Caenorhabditis elegans: one gene and its partner. Changing the gene in region 1 together with any one later gene gives a genetic interaction. Each region holds a gene or a part of one and is shown on either strand. Other genes may lie near its edges.

Region 1 (7,213 bases):
TAAAAATACAAACGCTGGTCTTTTCACGTCTTCTTTTTTTGTAAAATACAAAAGGGCGTGCGCCTTTAAAGAGTACTGTAATTTCAAATTGAATTGAAACTTACATCTCAAACTCGAGTGGTTTAGCTTGTTCTAGAACATCGGATGCCATGTGACAGTTAGTCAATCGCATTGTAGCTCTCATGATTTTATCGTCAAATGAAGATAGTGGGATAAGCTGGTTTCGGCAGATCATATCAACCCATTTTGAAGGATCTTTACCCAATAAAAGTTTCGGAACCGATCGCTTCTTCTCTGGATTGTAATAGGGCATCGATGTCCCACGAATGACTAGAGCATCGGACGGAATAATTCCAGACGAACGCCGATTGCTGAAATCATTTTTAAGACGAGATAGATATCAGAATTCCCCTCGTACAACACATATAATTCGTGGTTCGTGTATTATACGGTGGACGTACAATAAATGTATTATTCACATAATATAATGGACGAAGTTCTTAAAATTCGTGCAATGCAATGTGAATAACATATTTATTGTACGTCCAATGTATAATATACGTACCACGAACTATTTGTGAAGGTGAAGGGTCGACCGATTGCCAACCTCGAATATGGTCTATAAGCAGCTTCCAACTCTTCTTTGCTTGTCACATGAGTTCGCATGTGCTTTTTCATGTTTCCTTTCAATCGGAACTGTTTTCCACAAAATGGACACACATAAGGGGTATAGCCGGTGTGAACGGTACGATGCTCGAACATATTCGATTTGTATCGGAATCCTCGGCCACAAACATCGCAGATGTATGGTTTGGTGTCGGTATGAATCACAGAGTGCTGTTGGAGACCTGAAATGTTTTTTTTTATTTCAGCTTTCTATTTTTATGCGAATAACCTTTATAATTCATAAACATTTTATTACACACATTACACTGATGAACAGCAAACGGGGCGACTTCTTCTTGTTGATAGGTTCCGAACTAGAAACATTTCAATAATCTTAAAAATAAGAATCGAAATAAAATACCGTTATAGAAGCTTCGTAGTCCTCGCCGTCGTAAGATGGATCCGTTCGGTCATCAATAATTGACATCTGAAGTAAAAAATAAAATTTTTTGAAGAAAAAATGCAGACAATTTGTTGGTTTAAACATAAAATTAAGACAAACAAAACTCATAAATTAATTGACAGCTTCTCTAAATTTTAGGATTACCGTGTTTGACAGTTTCGTGGTGAGACCCAAAAGTTTCGTTGCGTCATGCGCCTTTGAGCACAGTGTCCCCAACAAAGAATTGTTTCTGCAATTTCGAATTAAGCTGAAAACATTATTTATATATTTAACAAAATTAGTTTAGAACAGAAGAACAGAAAATTAGAACATTTTCGATCTTTGTATTTTTTATACAAATATAATTTGAATAAATTTCCATACTTCTTCCCCGTTGTGTAATTTCTTTACTTTTCAGAACTTAAAACATTCAATTATTCTTTATTTTGAATTTTCTGTAAAACCTGCGCAATTGAATTTTATGTATTTATCAAAACAATTTTCAGCCATGCTACAGTAACTTCTTTAAAATCATCATTCTTCCTTGTCTAAATCGGAAATCTGTCTGTGTCCCGTTGGTCTATTTTGTTATTCGTCTGCAGTTTCTTCTACTTGTGCACTATATCGTTTCCACTGAGCGAGAGAAAGAGTATACACACACAACACATGCCAGTTCCTGTCCTTTGCCGCCCATCACCATTTTTTTCACCGTTTCGGCTCTGAAATGGACAATTCGTCACAGAGCAAACCGTCTAGTAGTTCGTCCAGTCATTCGCCAAGTCCTGCCGCAATTGTAAGTTTAATGGATTTTGAGTAAAGAAAAATAACGTTTTCTTGTAAAAACAGTATTGTATTTAATTTTTAAAAAAATCAGTTGAAGACGTATAAAGCCTGCTTTTACCAAAACTATCAATAAAAATCACTGAAAACTCAATAAATTAATAAATTCAGACACCAACACAACGAACAACACGAGATTCCGGATTGTGCTCAACAATTGATATTCCCGAAATTCAAGCACAATGTATTGATAATTTAAATAGTCATTATCTCGGAAAAGGCACTTATGGATTGGTTGAGAAAACAAGATATAGAAAAACTAGGCAGGATGACTTTAGGTTCGTTTCTAGCTTCAAAAATTTAAATTTAATTCTTTTAAAGCATGAGGAATTATCAAAAGTTAACAAAAAATCAATAAAATCACCAAAATATTATTTTCAGGCCAGCAGCAATCAAATATTCTTCTCAACTTCATATGGCAACTCTTATAAGAGAAGCAAAAGTTATGTGGGATCTCAGAAATCATCCTAATATTATAAAGTATGTTTTTATAAATGGAAAATACTGAAAATAGAAGTTTTTCAGAATTTATGGACTGTACAAAAGCCCTCGGAATGGGCAAGGAGTCGTTATGGAATATATGGATTGTGGAAGCATGGCCGATTGTGAGATTTTCATTTAAATTTAGTGAAAATCCCCGATTTCGCCAAATTTTTTAACATTTTGTCGGTTTATTCCGTGTTTCTTAGCGAATTAAACTACATTTTTTCGGCAATAGGAACAGAAATTTCTATCAGCTAAAAATATATTAAAATACATCAAAAAAGCGGATTATACTGCAAAATATGGAAGAAACTGAATAAAAATCAATATATGGACGCTGTAACACGAAAAATCTGGCAAAAAAAATTTCACTATAATTTTGAACAAAAAAAATGCTATTTGGTTTTTTTTTTCCATTTTTAGTCTTAAAAAAATCGCTTTAAATTCTCCAAACCCTGTTTTTTACGAAATTAAAAATTCATTTCAATGAGGCAATTCTCCAAAATAAAATTTAGCTGAAAAATCTATTTTTTTTTCAGTACTCTACGACAGAACACACATTAATTATACAATTGATCATGTGGCTTCATGGATGTTTCAACTATCATCCGCCGTCGATTTTTTCCATTCCAACAGCCAAGTTCACAGAGATTTGAAACTTCAAAAGTGAGTTTTTGATAGCAGAAATTATTGAAAGAAATATATATGTTGGATGTGAAGATGTTTTCAGTGATTTTTGAAAATTAACAGAAAAATATTGAAATTTTTTTCTTTACTATTAGCTAATATATTAGGTAAATTTTTTAAAAGTTGAAAGAATTAATGGCGGAGATCCTGTCAATTTAACAATTTAGATTTTAGAAAAATTCAACAAAATCTTTTGAAATTTTAAGTGAATTTAGTACAGAAAAGCAGAAATGTTTCGAATCCATTTTTAGACATTCGAAAAATTAATTTTAAAGGGTTCTACATTTTTGTGTGAGCTATTTTTTTTATTTTTTTAAGCAAAAAGTTCCTTGAAAATTGGTCCACAAAATAATGTGTAAAATCTAAAAAAAATCATTTTTAAAAAATAATATTTCAAAGTGGATTTAAAAATATCCTCCAAGAAGAACTAATCATATGAAAATAATTTTAAAAAGCCATTTTAAAAGTAAAAATGAGGAATTTCTTAATTTTTGTAGCTTTTCAAATTTCAATAAATTATCAGAAATCTTTAGCGGTCAGTTTTCAAAATTAAAATTAAATCACCTACTGTGGTCAATCAAAATAATTTCAGCATGCTTCTCTCTGATCGATATCGAACAATGAAATTATGTGATTTTGGAACATTTACCTCAATGCATCAATCAATGACTTCAAATCGTGGAACTCCAATCACAATGGCTCCAGAAGTATTTCGATGTGAACAGTATAATATGAAATCTGACATCTACAGTATTGGAATTATAATGTGGCAAATTATTGCTAGAAATCATCCGTATCGAAGAGATCTCTCAGTTCCTGGACTTTTATATAATGTTGCGACAGCTAACTTACGTCCACAAGAACTCGAATGTAATCCTATTTTGTCTGAATTTTATAAGAAATGTTGGAATGATAATGCTGATATTCGACCGACTTCTTCCGAATGTGTAGAATATTTTACTCTTCTAAAAGATGTAAGTTCTTTTAAAAAATTAAAAATTAAATACTCAACCAGTTAAAAACAATTTTTTTGAATTGAACAAATATTTCTAAAAATACAAAATTAAAATTTTTGGACAATCTCGAAAGAAGGTGCTGCAAAGCAAATTAAATTTTTTGTTTTCGAATTTTTTATTGCGAAGAAATTAAAGTATTTATTGAATTTATTTTAAAGTTTTTAAATTTTAAAAATTGTGTTATTCCAACACAATTTTTAATTTTATCTGAGAATTACTGTATTCGTGATAAGACCTGCTTTTCTATGAAACATATGAATCTCGCCAAACTCCAAAAAAACTAATTTTTTTTGCATTAAAGGAATATCCGAATGGGAGCGTACCTTTATCGGATTCTTCAACAAATGGACCAGCAGAAACTCCTCCACCACATGCTCATCGACCAACAATGCTTGGAACTTCTTCTGGAAGTGGAATAGGATCAAATAATCGAACACCAACTGCTTCAAAACTTTTAAATCCTCAACAACCTGGACAGGGTCATAGAAGAAATCGTAGTGAGACTTTTGTAGTGCAACCGGTAAGATTTTCATTTGGATAGCTTGAAAAACAGAAAATTGAAATTTTAGGATCTACCGTATCCAACGGTTCCGGGTGAAGCTGGTGCATCTAGAATACCAAAATCTCAAAGTGAAGCTAAAAATTTTCGGGATAGAGCCAAAAGCGAGCAAAGGTAGGAATTAATGGAAATGGAGATGAGGACTGTCCTGTTTTTGGGGTTTTTCGGATAAGAAACTAAATATCTAAAGACATGCAAATTTAGACTAGAATAATTGAAAAAAACATTTTCGATTATTTTTCAGACGAAATTAAAAAAAATTGAAAAAATTGTTGTCTTTCTATTTTCTCGCAAAAACCGAAAAAAACGTTTAGAAAATTAACTAAAGGATTAAATGTTTAAAAACTTGTTTTTATGAAAAAAACAAAGAAAGCATGTAATTTTCTTTATAGAAAAGAAAAATTACCAAAATTTGAAGCTATTTTTCAAACATCGATTTTTCAATTTTTTCAGAGAAAGTCAAAAAATTTAAAAACGAACATTGTTTGATTTTTCTGAAATTCTAATAATAGAAAAAACGAAAAAAAGTGTAATAAATATCAATTTAAAAAATGAAACTATTAATTTATCAAAAAATTCATATTTCGATGAGAAAATACGAAAATTGCTTTTAAAAATAGAAATATGACCGAAAAGTATTTAAAATTTGGCATTTTCCAAAAATAAAATAATTTTTTTAAATTTTAGCTTCTTTGGTTCTTAGAGAAATTAAAAAACTAACACTTTGATGGGTATTTCTACAAAAGTAGACATTTATTTTTTCCATTGACGTGGTGTATTATGAAATATCTCTTTTTTTCAGGCAACCACATAGAGACGCACGTCCTCCTCCTCCTTTTGAGCACCGAAGAGATAGCAACGATGAGGAAAAACATGCCGTTTTTATGAATATTTGTTCGAATGAGGAGACTAGAGTAATCCTTCGATGAGATTTGAATTAAATATAATAACATTCAATTTTTCAGCCTATTGATCCTGATACTCGTGACGAAAAATCTTTGGAAATCTTTCATCAACACTGTGATAATAATAAACAATATGCAGATGCTTGGGTCATTAAAAAAGAAGTTATGAGAGCTAAGTTAGTTGAAATTGCTATGTTTCAATGTAAAAAATTTGTTTTAAGATAAAAAGCATTTCTGGAAAAGAGGAAAAATTCAAATTTTGTATCATTGCATTTTCCGAAAAAAAAATCGAAAAAGTGTTTAGATTTTAATTTACGAAAATATCAGCTTTTCATCAAATTGTGTTAAGTTTGTGAAAAAAAAACAATTAAACATGTCATTTTCATTTGATAAAATAAAAAATTATCAAAATAAAAAACTAGTTTAAATATCAAAAAATCTAAATTTTTTGAAAATATCTAAATATTGAATAACAAAAATTACATATTTTTCGATTTTTTATTTCAAATCGAAAAAGCGAAATAATTTTTTTCTAAAACAAAAAGTGCAATTTCAAGTGTTTTTTTTTGAAAAATTATAATTTTAAAAAGTTTTAAGTAACAAAAATTATGGATTATTTATTTTCCAAAATAACGGTGAAAATTTTAAATATCCTGACCGAAATTTTGCTTAAATCAAATTCAAGTCCAATTGAAAAATACAATTAAAAATTTCAGACATGAGCTAATTGCCCAATGGCCTCAACACGATCACACGGTAGAACTTCTTGAACGGAAATATTATCTGGAACAAGAAATTGCAAGATATCGGGACATCCAAGATGATAATTACTTTTCAACTGAAAGAATGTGAACTCATTTCACTTTTTTTAAAAACATTCTTAGATGTATACTCATCTCTAAATAACTTTTATCTATATACTCACTTCTTGTTCAATTTGAATTCTGATCACTTCCTGTCAACTTTCTCTTTCAGTCCCTCTTTTCCTGTCAAACTTCTCTCTCCTCTTTAAAACGCTGGTCGCTGCCGTCTGTCCTTCCGAAGTTCTAAATGTAATTGTTATTATCTATAGATTTGTGTATTTAGTGTCTAGATATCATTACATGACTGTCGATTTTATGACAAGAAAACGTTTTGTGGAATTATCTATCTACACATCCAACATCTGAACGTATCACCCATGCCAACGTGCATATAAAGAGTGATACGAACGGCAGTGAAGAGACAGTCTACTGAAATGGGTTACGGTACCAATGTGGCTTCTGGTGTTACTGTCATTTGTGCAGCTTTTCTTATTCCAATGCTAACATGTACTATTTCTTTATTTTATGAAGTTGCACAAATGCACATGAGTGCAATGGATGGAATGGATGAATTCAAGGTGAGAGGCTAATTGCAGATAGTAGGCTTAAGCTTATGTTTAAGCTTCACCAGAAGATGCAAATATTTTTAGTATTTAAAAAACATTGATTGACTTATTGCTAAATGATTATCATAGTCTCGAAGCGACAAAAAATGTTTAAGTAAGTCTGCGAAAAAAATGGTTGTGCGCCTTAAAAAAGTACAGTATTTTTCACTACCCTTTAATTTGCAACTAATCTCAATATTTTCCATAAACGTAAACATATGAAAACTATACAGCAAAATGAATGAAAATTAATGTACTCTTTAAAGG
Region 2 (7,617 bases), 1.8 Mb from region 1:
CTAATTTGGAAGCCATATATGAACATTATAATTACCCATATTGTGCAGGGTATATGTTCACATAATATAAAAGGCCTGTTCAGTTCAAAAAGTATACTCCAAAATCATTGGAAAGTCATTTTATGAATGAAAACTGTCGTATCTCATCACTCAAATTTTCACACCTCGTTAGTTACAGTTCTATTCATTCCGGTAACCCTATTGTGTTGGGACATAAGATTCCTGATGGGACCACAAAAAAGTGGTGGCGTGTTTGCTACCCAACACAAATACCCTTGACTAGAGAAAGGGACTACGCAATCGTCGCGCAATCTGCCCCTTTCTCAACAGCAACAACCAAATTGGCTTGTTGAGAGGAAAAACAGTAGGTGGGATTACACACACTTTCTCTATCTGCCTAATATCTCTGTATCCTTTTCTGCTATTTTTTCGGCGCGAAATTTGAATTTGAATATCATAATTTCGTGGCAAGATCTAACTCCATTTTAAAGGTAGACGATTATTTTATCGGTGGGTCTCGCCAAGATCTCCGGAATTTTTATTGTGACCGAACCCAAATTTCATGATTTTTCAAAAATAATTTTAAGTGAATGTATAATAATGAATAGAAAAAGTCTGAATGTTCAGAACCTAGTCGGGTCGACTGAATTTTTGGAAAACATTTAGCGAACGTACATCACCCAAATTGTTAAAATAAACAGAGAAACATTCTATTCGTACCTATTCAGCCTAAATCAACCATTACATCCGTCTCCCAGTTTTTCCATTCCCACCTTCTAAATTGTATCATATATATATATATATATAAAATCTCACCTATATGTTGAGTACTCTGTCCATTGCTATCGCACATCTTCACCTCTTCATTATAGACATTAAATAGTTTCTGCTCTAACTCGCCTTCTTCAATACGACAGTTCGACGAGCTAGATGTAGAAGATGTTGAAGGACTCGAAGTAGATGTAGTAGTTGCCATTCAACGCAAATACACAAAATGAACTATTCTCTTGTCTTTTTTCTTCTTAGTTTTACCCCCGTTCAAACGCCTCCTTCCGATTCATCTTGTTGGTTGCAAACCATTTTTACCTTTCGTGCGCCGGTTTTGGAACTGCGGAACACGTAGTGTACTGTGTGGCGCCCTCCCTGTATAGTTATACACTCGACACTGCATATTTACATTGCGTTTCTTCGGTTTTCTGAAGGTCAAACCGATTGACTTCATCTCTGTTTCTTCTTTTTTTTTCAACCGAGGGGTTCGTGGCTGGCCTTCGAGTACTTTTGAACCATGGACAGCATAGTTTTCCATGTTGTTTTTACGGCCTTGAAAATTGAAGAATAGCAGCAAAAACGGTCACCTCTCGCATTGTAAACACCTGTTCTTTCGAATCAAAATGGGAATAAAACCACGAAGGAGTTTAATTAAAAGTGCTATTCAAGCTGGAACAAGAAATATTTTCGGTCCAAAAAATTGAAATCATTCAGAAAACCAACAATATAACAAGAAAAATTTAGGTTTTGAGTTTGTTTTGAAAGCTTAACAATTTTTTGTTTTCAAATATTAATTTGTTAAAAGAGTGATTTTTAACAATTATTATTTATTGGAATACATTGATGTACCTTTTCTATTTCTTATATATTCTCTTCAAATATATCAAAGATCATTCAAAATAATAAAATTAAATTTCAGATGAGCTCTAGTAGTAGTGATGAAAATGAAACAACGATACACAGAACAGGATCAAATACCGGTGGAAGTGGAATCTACTCACAACCTCGAGCAGGATCATCAAAAAGAACATCGAATGTGCGACATGATGTTAGTGATGTAGATGATGAAGAAGAGCATTATGCAAGATTTCGCGAAGATACGGTAAGGATTGTTGGAAAAAACAGATTTTCGATGTTGGTAAAAGGCCAAGTTTTGACTTTTTGAGGAATTTGAGCAATTTTTGTACCTGTACAATGGTCTTCTAAGTAAAAAAAATCGGAGCGTAAAAAATTAGAATATAAAAGTATTTTTTAAGCTTTTTAACTATTTTTTCTGAAAATACAATATTTAAAAGTTTAATTACAGGCGATCGAGGTTGACGATGCTATAACAGTTCTTCTTTCATCTCTACATTTCGAACACAAACGTGATATTGTTCCGACCGATGAAGATGATAATAAACTTCGAGAACTTCACGAAAAGATTTTTGCATTGATAACGAGTGAATCTGATGTTAACAGGTAAATCCGAAATTTTCAGAATATTTTTCAAAAAATCGTTTAATTTTAGAAAAAGACGGCTGAAAAAAGCTCTTCCTGCGTCAAACTGTGTTAGAGAACAAGTATATTATCTTCGAAGGAAACCATCAACACCACCAGCTTCTTATTATCATCGACTAAATGCAGCTCTTCACACAATCGTTAAGGAATCATTTGGAGAAGAATATCGAAAAGTTGCTACAGTATTAGGACTTGTTGAAGCGCTTGCAGAAGTTTTAATTCTTGAAGTTCACACATTTGGAATCAATGAGACCAATCCTGGAGAGCATCGAAATATTCGAAAACTTATTGCCAATGCTCTTACGAATTTAACATACGGTCAAATTCACTCTAAACGCCGGCTATGCTCATATGATGGATTCATTCGATGCGTTGTTCGAATTGTGATCGAATCTCCAAATATAACTCAAGTATACGCTGGACTAATCAGAAATCTCTCATGGAACGCCGATTCAGGAATGAGTGAAGCTCTTCAACCAACAGTTCATGCACTTTCAATTGCTGCAGTACATGCACATACACATAGATTCGATGTTACAGCAACATTATCTGCTTTGTGGAATCTTGCTGGTCACTCAGTAGAGAATAAACGAACTATTTGTGATACTCCGAATTGTTTAAAAGTATTAGCCAGCCTTCTATCTCCTGATGCAAGATTCACGTCACTTGTTGATTCAGCTACTGGAATTCTGAAGTATGTATCACAATATCTCGCGAATACTTCCACGCATTTAGAGGTTAGTTTTTGATTTGTTTTTGTTGAAAAATGCAAGTGAGGTTTCAAAGTTATCTTTTTTTTTCATAAATAGAAAGAAAAAAATCGAAAAAAATTTCATGGCGAGTCAAAATTTTGCAAAAAAAAATCCAAATCTTGCTAAATCTTTCGTCAACTTGCGCTTGTTTCCAATTTTGGACATTTCTGAATATCGACTTAAAATGTGCCTAAATAAATTAACGAGAGATAAAAGTCAGAAAAATATGCCACAAAAAGTGATTTCTTCAACAGGGATTTTAAAAGAAAATTTTGGAAAAATTTTACCCTTTTTTTCACCTTTTTGTAAATTTTTTGAGAAGTAAGTAGGTTTTTTTTTTGAGAAATTACGAAATTCGATGGTTTTGTGTCAGTTGAAGTTTTTAGGCAAAAGAACCCACAAACACTTCCCTTTTGCACATAAAATTGATCAAACTGAACAAATATCATTATTTCAATTAATCCAATAAAATTTCAGCTAAGAAGCTTGCTCATCACTCGAATGCTCACTTTGCTCAAGAGTGCCTCGTTCACTTGTGTTACAAATACTCTAGGAGCTATTGCAAACCTAATTGTCAAAGATCCCCACATGCAGCAAATGATTCGGCAGGATATGGCTGCAGTACAGCAACTCAACGTACTCCGAAACTCGAATCGTGATGATATTCGGACAGCAGTGAAGTCTGTGCTGAATACTCTTAATCAACCGTGTAGTCATCGTTATGGTGATATGTCACATTCTGTTGGAGGAGGAGCCACAGGGATGCAAATGCTTTCGGAGCCACAACTTCAGATGCAAACATCTCATCATGCTTATCATGGAACTGCGTCACCAAGATTACTATCACTGAGAGCAACTCGAGCATCACCTGGAAAATATATACAACCACAGGCTCAACAACAGTTGATACAGACTCCACAAGTTGATCAAAGATCTAGTAGTCTGCCAAGACATTTTGCCGTTCAACGAAATGGATTTGTGATGGCACAGTCCTACAATCAACAAATGGATCAACATCAGCAACAACAAATGATCTATCAATTGCAGCAACAACAACAAATTATGGTAACGATTTTCCAGCGTTTTTTTCTGTAATTTTCTCTTAGTTTCAGACGGAGGATCAAGCGCAAATGGAACATCATCAACAAATCATGTACCTTCAGCAGCAACAACAACAATTTCATCAAATTCAACAACAGCAACAAATGCAAAAAGCTCAGGAAGCTGATCCAGTTCCTCCTACGGATGACGATCTAGATATTCCCACATCTACCGTAATGGGAACACGAAGTAACAGTGAAAGAAGTCTCGGCTCGATGAATCCTGGAAGTGTTATGACAAACTGGAATTCTTCTCTGGATACTGCAGCCAACAGTTCTCGTGCTCTTTCTCCTGTATCATACAATGATATTCCAGCTTCTCCAACAATGTGTGCTCAGGTGTTCAATTTACCTAAATCCACTGAATCGGAACATCATCAATTGACGTCTCAACAGCAGAACACTACACATTATAGCAGTGGATCAGCTAACACTATGACTCGGAGTGATGGTGCAACTACTGTGCCAATGGATAACATTATTACACCAACTTATGCTATTTTGAATCCAATATTGGTACACGAACAGACACCGAACGGGACAGTTCCACGAAAGACTTCAGAAGAGTTGGATAGTCCTGATGATGTTCTCCCAGGTCCATCTCTTGAGGAGGAAGAAGGTGATTATGCTATAATAGGAGGTGCCGCACAAAAGACAGATGACGAGCTTTTGACTCGTTCTATTCAATCTGAAATGCCTACTTCGTCGTCTACTCCGAAGATGAAAGTCTCGCCTCGCCTTAATGGATTCTTCTCTCCAACTCAGAAAACAACATCGTCTCCTGCATGGTCTCATCCAGATACCTCACCGATTCCAAAGTCATCTTCTCATCGAACTCAACCTAATCGTCGTCAAGATGCTTCTGATGCAGATCGTCTTTTAATGGAATCAATAATGTCAGAGATGCCAAAAAGTCGAATTATATCTCCACGACTTGCTGGTACACAACAATATCTTGAACCCGAGCCAGAGAGAAGAAGTCATTCAAAAAACGAGGAAGCCGATCGCCGCGACGCATTCACCGCATCGCATGAGCCCAGCGATCATAACGGCATTGATGTGGCAAGAGGCTCAGACTGGTCTCCACAACAACAATTACATCGAATGGAGTCATTGGAAAGCCAAGCTAGTAGTGAAGATAGTTTTGGATTAACTGCTGAAGAACCAAATTCATCAACTTCTGGTGCTGCTGCAAACACTATGAGATTTGACGATGAGATCGATGCATCTCTTCCAATGGATTGTGTCGATGATGATGATTACGACTATACTTATGATCATTTCGAAGATTATGAAGATGAGGAGGATCCTGATGCGACTCAGTTTGATGATGGAGTTGATGCACAACTAACTATCGATTGTTCAATGATTTCTAGTGGAAGCGGTTCATCGCAAAGAAATGAAACTACGACAACGTCACGAGATTCAAAAGCTTTAGCTACTTCCACACCAAAAGGATCTGCATCTTCACTCCCAGGAGTTCGACAAGCCACCCGAGTATCAACGAATGGAAAGTCAAGACTGCCTGTTCCAAAAACGAATGGATCACTTGTTGATAAGGTATTTATTCTATTAAAAAACTCTGATTTTATAGAATTAAACAATGTCTCATGAAAATTGAAAATCGAAAAAAACGAGAGAAAATTCAAAAAATTAATCACAAAATTCAATTGTATATTGATGAAAAAAAATATTTAAAAAAAACATAACTTTTGCCTAAAAATAGTAATATGACCAATATTTGAGATTTTTTCGAAAACCCGAAATTGTTTTTCAATATATCGGGAAAAAAAAAACGAAAATGTTCGATTTTAGAAAAAAATCCAAACTTGAACCAACAAAAAATGAAAACTGGTAAAAACTCGGCATTTGGCTCTAGCTTCTTGCCCAAGTTTAGACAGCTTCTGATCCAAGTTAATTTTTTTTTGTTTTATTAACGTAAATGAGTACAGTAGAAAAACAAACTTTAAAAAATATATCAGAGATATTTAACTTTTGAAAAAAAAAACACTAAAAACCATAAATAAACCCACATTTTGTTAAAGAATATTTGTAAAATATGGAAAAATAGAAAGTGAGTTTTTTATTAATTTTTTTTTAGCAAAAAAAAATCAAAAAATGCCGAGCCCTGCTCCCAATTTTTTTAAATTAACTTTGATAAAATCAAAGACCAACTGAATTCTAAACGTTTCAAATTAGATTTTCAAACCTCGCTTTTTTGCAGAATCCCAAGCCAATCATCGCTTCCCGGCGGCCACGATTGCCACCGAAGCCGACACTTTTAAAAGATAAGCACTATCCAGAAGAGGATTCGATTGAGAATCAGACGAGAGATGATACGATATATGTGAATGCTCCAGTTGTTGAGGCAGAACAAGAACGAATTTATATGAATGCATTGAAGCAACAGAAGAACATTGAGCAATCACCGTCAATTGGAAACGGATCACCTATAGCTAAATCTGCAATTGTAACGCCCTACAATTATCAGAAACCGCCTTTCACTGTAAGAAAATAATTACTTTTTTTTAAAAAGTACAGTATCAATTCAAACATGAAGAAATATTCTTTAAAATAAACATTTTCAGGGTCGAAATAATGGTGAAATGAGCAACGAGAAGAGTGTGACACCGAATCCTAAACAAATGCTTGTAACAATAGTCTAATGATCCGCTCATATACCGAACCTTGTTCTTTGTATCCCCGTCATCTCTAGTCGTTCCCAGTTTCTAGTCGAGTGTTCTCATCTTCTTATTCTACCTCGAACTTTTATATTATTGTCTAATGGACCCTGTAATCATATTTCTAGCGCTGGCAATATACTATGTTTTCCAATTTTCTGTAAAATGTGATTTGGTTCTTGTTCTTGTTTCCATTACCTGACCGCTCAATACATAGCTGTTAATATGTTTCATTCAATTTGTAATACGAGTTCTTTCAACCTCACTCTGCTCCATTGTTTTCTCATCTTTTTTGAATCATAAATATTGTATATATTTATTAGTGTGAAGAAGTATTTGTTTTATTAGAAATCGGCAGGAATGGGAGAAAAAAAAACACGAGAGAATCAGTTATATTATGCAAACTTTCAAAGAAACCATTATCTTCAATATAGTTCTTCTCTGGATATGTTACGAAGTGAATGACGATTCTTATGAGTGAGGAAGGCAGTCAGTGCGTAGAAAATTCCCAGGATGAATGTTAGGAACTGAAAAATTAGGTTCATAGGTTTTTTGAGAGTTTTTTGTTGAGGAAAAATCCAGAAGAAAAGGAGCTAGTGGTGGATAGTTTATCTCTTTGTAACTTTTTTGATTTTCGAGTTAAGAATAAATTGTTACCCAGACGTGAATTTTGCGATTTTTGCGCCAAAAGTACGGTATCTGGTCTCGACACGACGAATTTTTTGTGAAATACAAAAGGTGTGCTATTGTAATTTCAAAATTTATATCGATTTTTATAGCTTTTCGTTAAAGACATATTCGTTTATCAAAAAAAAC

Evidence for each region. A genetic interaction does not mean that the proteins touch.
Region 2: of mom-4 (region 1) and apr-1, changing one enhances a phenotype caused by changing the other (phenotypic enhancement), as found in Caenorhabditis elegans (one study listed by BioGRID).

Annotation. Positions count from the first base shown.
Region 1 is NC_003279.8:9,895,159-9,902,371, reverse strand, and holds mom-4 (Mitogen-activated protein kinase kinase kinase mom-4), read left to right. Parts: upstream 1-1,554; 5' UTR 1,555-1,772; coding exon 1,773-1,841; intron 1,842-1,999; coding exon 2,000-2,166; intron 2,167-2,269; coding exon 2,270-2,368; intron 2,369-2,413; coding exon 2,414-2,493; intron 2,494-2,910; coding exon 2,911-3,037; intron 3,038-3,650; coding exon 3,651-4,032; intron 4,033-4,375; coding exon 4,376-4,594; intron 4,595-4,643; coding exon 4,644-4,747; intron 4,748-5,435; coding exon 5,436-5,547; intron 5,548-5,598; coding exon 5,599-5,714; intron 5,715-6,254; coding exon 6,255-6,390; 3' UTR 6,391-6,694; downstream 6,695-7,213. Other genes in the region: lsl-1 (C2H2-type domain-containing protein), read right to left, coding at 105-371, 608-848, 896-980, 1,028-1,093; col-64 (Nematode cuticle collagen N-terminal domain-containing protein), read left to right, coding at 6,776-6,919. UniProt on the Caenorhabditis elegans protein: Part of the Wnt signaling pathway essential for the specification of the mesodermal cell fate in early embryos. Stimulates the wrm-1/lit-1-dependent phosphorylation of pop-1 and plays a role in the initial nuclear accumulation of wrm-1.
Region 2 is NC_003279.8:8,048,356-8,055,972, forward strand, and holds apr-1 (Adenomatous polyposis coli protein-related protein 1), read left to right. Parts: upstream 1-1,687; coding exon 1,688-1,870; intron 1,871-2,074; coding exon 2,075-2,229; intron 2,230-2,278; coding exon 2,279-3,005; intron 3,006-3,497; coding exon 3,498-4,085; intron 4,086-4,126; coding exon 4,127-5,680; intron 5,681-6,344; coding exon 6,345-6,626; intron 6,627-6,708; coding exon 6,709-6,786; 3' UTR 6,787-7,113; downstream 7,114-7,617. Other genes in the region: K04G2.7 (HTH CENPB-type domain-containing protein), read right to left, coding at 817-976; K04G2.9 (MARVEL domain-containing protein), read right to left, coding at 7,227-7,328. UniProt on the Caenorhabditis elegans protein: Has a role in endoderm cell specification and pharyngeal development. Required for the migration of epithelial cells, organization of the anterior seam cells and ceh-13 expression during embryo morphogenesis.